Linked DNA regions of Macaca mulatta. The protein of the gene in region 1 interacts with the protein of each later gene in a pairwise test. Links are inferred from orthologs where the notes say so. Each region holds a gene or a part of one and is shown on either strand. Other genes may lie near its edges.

The links.
Region 2: the proteins of keratin, type I cuticular Ha8 (region 1) and TXNDC5 interact in a two-hybrid assay, tested with the Homo sapiens proteins (2 studies listed by BioGRID and IntAct). The link is inferred for Macaca mulatta from reciprocal best matches to the Homo sapiens genes KRT38 and TXNDC5.

The regions. Positions count from the first base shown.
Region 1 is NC_133421.1:65,782,007-65,786,130, forward strand, and holds the start of keratin, type I cuticular Ha8, read right to left. Parts: upstream 2,854-4,124; 5' UTR 2,792-2,853; coding exon 2,300-2,791; intron 2,113-2,299; coding exon 2,030-2,112; intron 1,237-2,029; coding exon 1,080-1,236; intron 736-1,079; coding exon 574-735; intron 492-573; coding exon 366-491; intron 189-365; coding exon 1-188.
Region 2 is NC_133409.1:175,276,615-175,280,262, reverse strand, and holds part of TXNDC5 (thioredoxin domain-containing protein 5), read right to left. Parts: intron 491-3,648; coding exon 341-490; intron 1-340. UniProt on the Homo sapiens protein: Protein disulfide isomerase of the endoplasmic reticulum lumen involved in the formation of disulfide bonds in proteins. Can reduce insulin disulfide bonds.

The sequences.
Region 1 (4,124 bases):
GTGGCAATCTCATTCTCCAGCCGAGCCTTCACGTCCAGCAGCACCTGGTACTCCTGGTTCTGCCGCTCCAGGTCAGCCCGGATCTCGGACAGCTGCTCCTCCACGTTGCTGATGAGGCTCTGCATCTGGGCCAGCTCCGTGCCGAAGCGGTCCTCAGCTTCACACAGGGAGTTCTGCAGACAGTCCTTCTGTAGTGGGAAATAAGGGGATAAAATGTGCAAGGGCCCCAGGGAAACTGCTACATGCTCCAAATTTTGATGGTGATAACAGGTGGGAGAAACCTGGGCGGTGAGACCTCCAAAATAAAAGGCTACTAGGCCATGGCATGGGGCATTTGCAGTGCAGTGAGGGTGAAGGACACATACCAAGGTGTGCTGGGCTTGGCGCTCCACCTCCAGGGCATTCACCGTGCATCTCAGCTCCAGGATCTCCGACTGGCAGCACTGCAGCTCCTCAGAGCAGGACATGGCCTGCAGGCTGATGCCTTCAGACTAGAGCACAGAGAGACATAGTCACCTCCCTGCCCAGATGGAGGCCAGGTACTCTCCAGCTCTGTACCCACCCCTCGTTCACCTGGGCTTGGAACCACTGTTCTACATCCTGGCGGTTGGTCTCCACCATGGCCTCGTACTGAGCCCGCATCTCCCCCAGCACCCTGTTCAGGTCAATGGTGGGCTCAATGTCCAGCTCAATCCGGAGCTTCTCCCCCAGTTGACTCCTCAGAATCTTTACTTCCTGCAGAAAGGAGGAAGGGACAGACAGCCTGTGTGAAGAGAGGACCTTTGATGGAGCAGACAGCACCAGGACCCTGACCCTGCAAGCAGTGGGAGGGGAGTCCCACACACAAGCAAATGGGAAAGTCTTGCTGAGAGTGCAGTGGGGAGAGCCCACCTGGACACCTTCCTCGTGCCCAAGGCAAGTCTGCACTTTCCACAGAGGCCCTCTGGACCCTCAGACCCCCCTCAGTCCTGCATCCTGATACCAGCTGAGCCCAGACAATGCTCTGAGAGCCCCGGGGCCAGGGAGCTCCCCTGTCTGCCCAGCACCCTCCCCGGGAGTCTGAGCAGCCAGGGCCACACCTGCTCATGGTTGCTCTTGAGGGACAGCTGCTCCTCCTTCAGGGACTCCTGCTGGGCCTCCAGGTCAGCCTTGGCCAGGGTCGCGTCATCCAGGAGCTTCTGCGTCCCACACTGGTCCGCCTCTACCAGCTGGCGTAGGGAGCGCTCACTCTCCAGCCTTCCATCACGGGAGGTACAGGGTCAACAAGAATGCCCCAAGAGCCCCTCTCGGCTGCCCTGCCTTCCTACCTCCCACACCACCTTGGATCCTCATTTGTTCACTGTTTAGCCCTCTGGCCTCGAAGGTGAATTAGACACAGCCCCCCTTCTCAAAGAGCTCATGGTCTAATGAAGCAATCACAACACTACATTGCACAATATACATTTTTGCCATTGTATTCTGTGGCAACTGCAGTTCAGGAAGATGAACTGACTTGCCTAAGATCATGCATCTTGGGACCAACACTCGTGCCATTGCGGGGACTGTCAGTTACCAAAGATAAGCAATAGCCAGGTGCCTGATCGTGATCTGCGGCTCCTTATGCCTTACTTTTCAGCTGTCTTCCCCTCTCTCATTTTTGCCTAGGTACCTTATGCCTGGTACCTTAGGGCTCCATAATTAAATCTGAACAAAGACTCATCTGTAAACGACTTCTCTGACTTATATATGAAACCCAATGGCTGTCTTGCTCAGTTCATCCTTGAAATCCCCTCATTTTGCTCCTGGTGAATGAACTCAGGCTCCCTTATCCTCCATTTTAGGGAAATAAATGAAGGAGGACAAACATATATGCTTGGATTAATGAGGAGTTTTCCCTTCCATCTTTCATCAGCTTTGATTGTAATGAAAATTTTACTGTGGAGAATCTAGCAAGGAAGACAGGACAAACATTCACTCACTCAACAAGTATTTGGGCACTGGGATGGAGGGTGGGGAGGGAGTCACCCTGGCCCTCCTCCACCTGACTTACTTGATCCTAAAGTCATCGGCAGCCAGCTTAGCATTGTCAATTTGTACAATCAGCCTGGCATTCTCGGCCTTGCTGCACAGGATCTGAGGAAAACGGAAAGACGGTTCACACACAAAGCATCATACTCTAAGCTCCCACTCCACGTGTGGTGTCTACGCTCATGTCCAAGAGAAACCAAGAACCCAAAGCTCTCTGGACCTTATGTGGATTCCTCCTGCGAAGGCTTCTGCCTTCTCAGACCCAGCACGCCCAAGTGATCCCACACCTCACCTTCTGCTGGAGCTCCTCGATGGTGCGGAAGTAGGACTGGTAGTCCGGGCACACAGTGGACTCGTGGCACTTGCTCCTCTCGAGGAGTGTGGCCTCCAGCTCCGCGTTCTCCCGCTCCAGCTGGCGCACCTTCTCCAGGTAGTTGGCCAGGCGGTCGTTCAGGAACTGCATGGTCTCCTTCTCATGGCCATTCAGGGTGTTTTCACCATAGGCCCCACAGATTCCAATGTTGCCAGGAATGTGACAGGTCCCTGGCAAGGGACAAGCATTGTGGCAGGTTGGGGGCAGGCAGAGGCTGGGGCGGCCCAGGGGAGTCGACCCCACGCGGACTCGGTTGGCATGTGCCACGTTGGCCAAAAGGCACATGGGGGCAACGTTGGCCTCTGCCCCGGGCTGGCACCCAACGTCGATGGGAGAGACAGAGACATTTCTTGCTCCAGGAGCCATGGTGCAAACCAGAGGGCATGAGGAGCTGCTGTAGGAGGAGGTCATGGTGTAGGGCTGAGACTGCACAGGAGCTTCAGATCAGCTGGGAACGCCGAGCCACTGAGACTGAGGTCTCCTCTCCTCCCAGCCCTTTTATACCCCGTCCTGGGTGGGTGTTGGCTCCAATGCTTTGACCTCCTGCCTTGATTATCTACCTGTTGTGGTGCCATCATCCTGTTACTCAGCTGCTGAGTTTACCATGAAAAGTTTCTCAGCTCATTAAAGGAATGTTGACGAATCTGAGATGCCTCTTGGCTCTTTGAAATCAGGTTGGCTGCTGGTGGGAGGTCAGAAGGTTTTTATTATTTTTCAAAGAAGCAAAGTTATTTTAGCCATCAGATGCTTAGACCTTGACTGGGTTTGGCCTCTTTATGGATGTCTCCACTCTGGAGACACAAACTTTCCTGTTGGTCAGTGGTGTAGCAGGAGGACTAACCCTTGTAATGGCAATGGTTCTCACTTGGGTTAAGACTCAACCAGCCTTCCCTATCCAAGGAAGAAACTAAGTCTTGGTATTGGTGGATGTTACGGCCTTGGGTTATCAAGAAGTCCTACATTTCTTCTTTCTTTAGTTGGTTGCCTTTCAGACTCACTTTGAGGAGCAACAAGACTTAGATGAATCCATTCACTCAACACACATCCCCTAGCTATGTCCCATTTGTCAGGCACCTTGCTGACACTTGACATATAGTTGGTTAAGCACAGAACAGTTCCTGTCATTGGGGAACAACTGTAACTTGGATAGATGTGATGTTTCAAACAAGGTATCTGAGAAGCTTATGAAAATGAGGATGACTCCAAAAACCATGGCTTATCTCGACCAAGAAGGCAAGCTCAAGAAGCCAGAAAAAAACAAAAAGAAATGAGCAATAATCTTACTGAACCTCAAATAAGAACTTTGAGAAAAGAACTCATGAAAGCCAAAGAACATTGAGTGATCAGAGCCTCTGTGGGCTCTCTTCATACTTTGCTTCCTTGATTCTAAAATCAGTCATGAGCCTTCACCCTATGAGCTAGGGGATTGAGCAGTGATACCTTTTAATCTTTACTTCCAACCTGGGAGGTGGGTACTCTTAATTTTATAAAATAAATAAATAAGCCATTGAGGACAAGAGATGTGAAGTCATTTTTCTAAGATCAACCCCACTATGAAGTATAAAGCCTATTCTCAACATCAGCTTCTTTCAACTGCAGAAGCTATTTCTTCACCTTGACTACCACCAAATCTCCCACCCCCAAGGATAACTACTGTGTCATTGCTAGAACTAAGAAGGATTCAAAGGCCTAGAAACCAGGCAAGAAGTTGAAGTGAAGATGTAAAACAAAAATCTGACGTTGT
Region 2 (3,648 bases), on another chromosome or scaffold:
GAAGGGTGTTTGCGAATAAGAGTCACTAGAACAAGCAAGCCAAAATTGATGACAGTCTACGCACACTGTGTAAAATGTACCAGTGAACATCTAGCATGGCGGGGCCACCATTTTCGTCTTGCAAACACATTCTCTTATAAACACGAAAACCCAACACTGATGAATTAAAGGTTATCCAGAGTACGAAAGGCATCTGAAATAGACACAGCGTTAAATGCAATTTCTCCCTAATGACAGGGACTGCCTCCTTAAATTTAGTATCTCTTCACTCCTTTACCAAAAGTTTAGGACCTTCTTTGTAACCAGGAACCACCTGGGAACCACCTTTCTTCCGACTTACGTGGGGTATCCTCGCACTCCCTGGGCGGAGCACACATCGGAGTGGGCCGTGCAGTCCACTTTAGCCACATAGACTTTGGCATCTTCCATGCTGTTATATTTGTCTCCCAGGTCATTCCAAGTTGGCTGCAGCCGCTGGCAGTGTCCACACCTGGAACAAAGCAAGAGCACAAGTGCACTGAGTACCAGCTCACAGGGCAGCTGGCCCACAATTTCAGCCCTGTCCAGGAGGCAATGGGGCTCTCAGTCCTTTCTTTACACCACTGCAGATGGCAGCTCCTGGACCAGTACTCCAGGACCTCTCTCCCCTGCTCCCTCCCCTCCAGAGTCGCTGCCCTGTTCTCAGCATGAAACCTCGGCCCTGTGCCAGCATTAAACCCAGCAGAGTGTTGTTCTGGATCCTACTTGTTCTGGCCCTGCTGACTTCCCACTTGACTTCTATTCCAGAGTCCACCCTCCTTCCCTTGCGGCCTAGTCCTGAGCCCTACTGCAGCATCTGCAGTGTTCCCAAAGGGCTATCGCTTGGTTTGGCCCTGGGACACGTTCTCTGACACTTCCTCTGTAAACTCCACCTAACTAAATCTACCCGCCCTTCAGGTAGATTGGGTGTCACCTCCTCCAGCAAGTCTGCCCTGACTCCCCGGGCCATTCAGTGCCCGTTCTCTTCTCCTGCCCTTCTGGAAAGCCCCTCTACTCCTCCCTTGACAGTAGCTTAGCACCTCCTGCCGTATCTGCTACTTTTACTCACAAACCAAACAGCGACAAATACAAGGCAATCTCAAAATTTACTCAATTGCAATTTTCTCCAATGAGGAGGAAAAAAAAATTTGTGGCCACCTAAACTTCTAGGGTTGAAGTAAGCAAACGTCTATAGTATTTATTGTATGAATTCAGTTATGTACAAATAGTTTTAAATCACCTATCATTTAAAAGAGTATATTAATTAGGCTTCTTCCGTGCTTCACATTTCACGAGGATATCAGCATCTTTCCCAACACTAGATCTTGAGTCCTACAGCTGACCACAGCTCTTCCCGCATTCTCAGGACAGTATGTCCACAGTGCCATACCTGAATTTTTAATGAGACAACCCTAGAAACTTTATCCCAAGTTTCAACTACAATCCCATAGCATGATGACACATGGATTTGTTATTTAATATGGTAGGAATACACTGATGCCTACAATATAACCACTTTGCTGTATCGCTTTTTTAAATGCTTTTTTTTTTAAATAAAAACACTTGCTTATAAGAACACCCAACGCTTAGAATTGTGACTTCTTCCTCAAAATAATTTAATAATCTCTGTTAAATCTTTTTTATTTTCTGACAGATTACCTCAAAAATAAGCATTTAAGTTGGATCCAGTGGCTCATGCCTGTAATCCCAGCACTTTGGGAGGCTAAGACAGGAGAACTGCTTGAGCCCAGGGGTTCAAGACTGGCCTGGACAACACAGCAAGACCCCCCCATCTACAAAAAGTTTTTAAAAATTAGCCTGGTGTGGTGGCACACACCTGCAGTCCTAGCTACTTGGGAGGCTGAGGCAGAAGGATCACTTGAGGCCAGGAGTTTGAGGCTGCAGTGAGCTATGATCACACCACTGCACTCCAGCCTGAGTGACAGAGTGAGATTTTGTCTCTTAAGAAGAAAAGGATTCAAGCCAGGCGCGGTGGCTCACACCTGTAATCCCAGCACTCTGGGAAGCCAAAGCTGGTGGATCACGAGGTCAGGAGTTTGAGACTAGCCTGACCAACATGGTGAAACCCCATCTCTACTAAAAATACAAAAATTAGCTGGGCGTGGTGGCACGCACCTATAATCCCAGCTACTCAAGAAGCTGAGGCAGGAGAAGAATCGCTTGAACCTGGGAGGTGGAAGTTTGCAGTGAGCTGAGATCATGCCATTGCACTCTAGCCTGGGCAACACAGCAAGACTCCCGTCTCAAAAAAAAAAAAACAAAAGAAAAGAAAAAAAAGGATTTAAAAGTAGCACTGAAAAAGTCTGCCTCAAGATAATGTTTCTTCCCTAAACAGCACTTTCTTGGCCAACTAAGAGAATCCCTGCTTTATGAGACACTCAGATACAAAAAAAAAAAAAAGCACAGTGAAACTATACATACAGATTTAACTTCTGTAGATTCAACAAAGTGAGTTTGTGTGGCGGAGAGAAGGAAACAAGAAAAAAAGGCAATTCCCACAGAACCCTAACGTGTGTGCAAGCTGGGAGATGTGAGGTTTTTGTTCTTCAGCTGGTCTTGGTTCCTGCGTGCTTCTCATGGCATGAGCATTTCTCTGACTATATTAAGCGTGACCTGCCGTCTAAAGACAGGTTTGAGAACTAGTCCATCGGTGTTTAACCAAAGCAGCCATGATAGTTCTAATGCTGGAGGAAACGCTGGCAGTGAGGACTTACTGACTGACTGGGGCGGTGTCCAACAAGGTACCTTCCTAAGGGACTGTCAAGGGCAGTTCTGACCCTAGGGGACTTTGATCAGTTATGCTCATTCTGGAACTTTAGAACTCCTCTGCAATCTTGACGAGGTTTTGTTGTGTTACCGTGTTTTGTTTTGTTTTGTTTTTTGTTTTTTTTTGTGTGTGAAAACACAAGATTAGATTAAGAATGAGAATAAACAATAAGTAAGTTTGTGCTACACTAAATCAAAACTGACCTTTCTGGGCCATCACCAAGTTGGATGTGCCCTTGCTCCTGGCAGTGATGGGGCCACAGGTGCTATCTAGTTGGCCCTGTGGCTACAGCACCCAGCTCTGAGACAGACAGCTGCATTCACAAAGAAGCCTGTGGCCAAGAAGTAGAGCAAAGCTACCTGGTCCAAATCTTGACCTCACTGTCACCAGGTTCGGGGTGACTCACAAACTAGCCATACAGAAGCTGTGACCGGATGTTGGCACAAAATCTACAGCAGTAGGACAACCCTGCAGCTGCCAAGCTTAGGGCAAAAATACACAGATCAATGTTTTTGTTACAGGGGCTCCCGCCCCTTAATCACACGTGGGCTTTCACCATTTGACGGCAGCAGAAACTGGAAAAAGGTATGTGTGTTGAGGGGGAGTCCACTGAGTATTCTATCTGAGGTCTAAAGGCTCAGCTGACCACTCCAGGACCTCCTTCCCTCCCCTGCAAAGGCCCCTCCAGAGTCACCACCTTGTTCTCAGCATTACACTTATTAAGCTGTTGTTCCAGGTATTGTTGGTCCTACTTGATCTGGCCCCCCTGACCTCCCATTTGACCTCTCTGTCCACTCTGCCTCCTTTCCTGGCAGCCTATTCCTGAGCCCTACTGCAGTCAT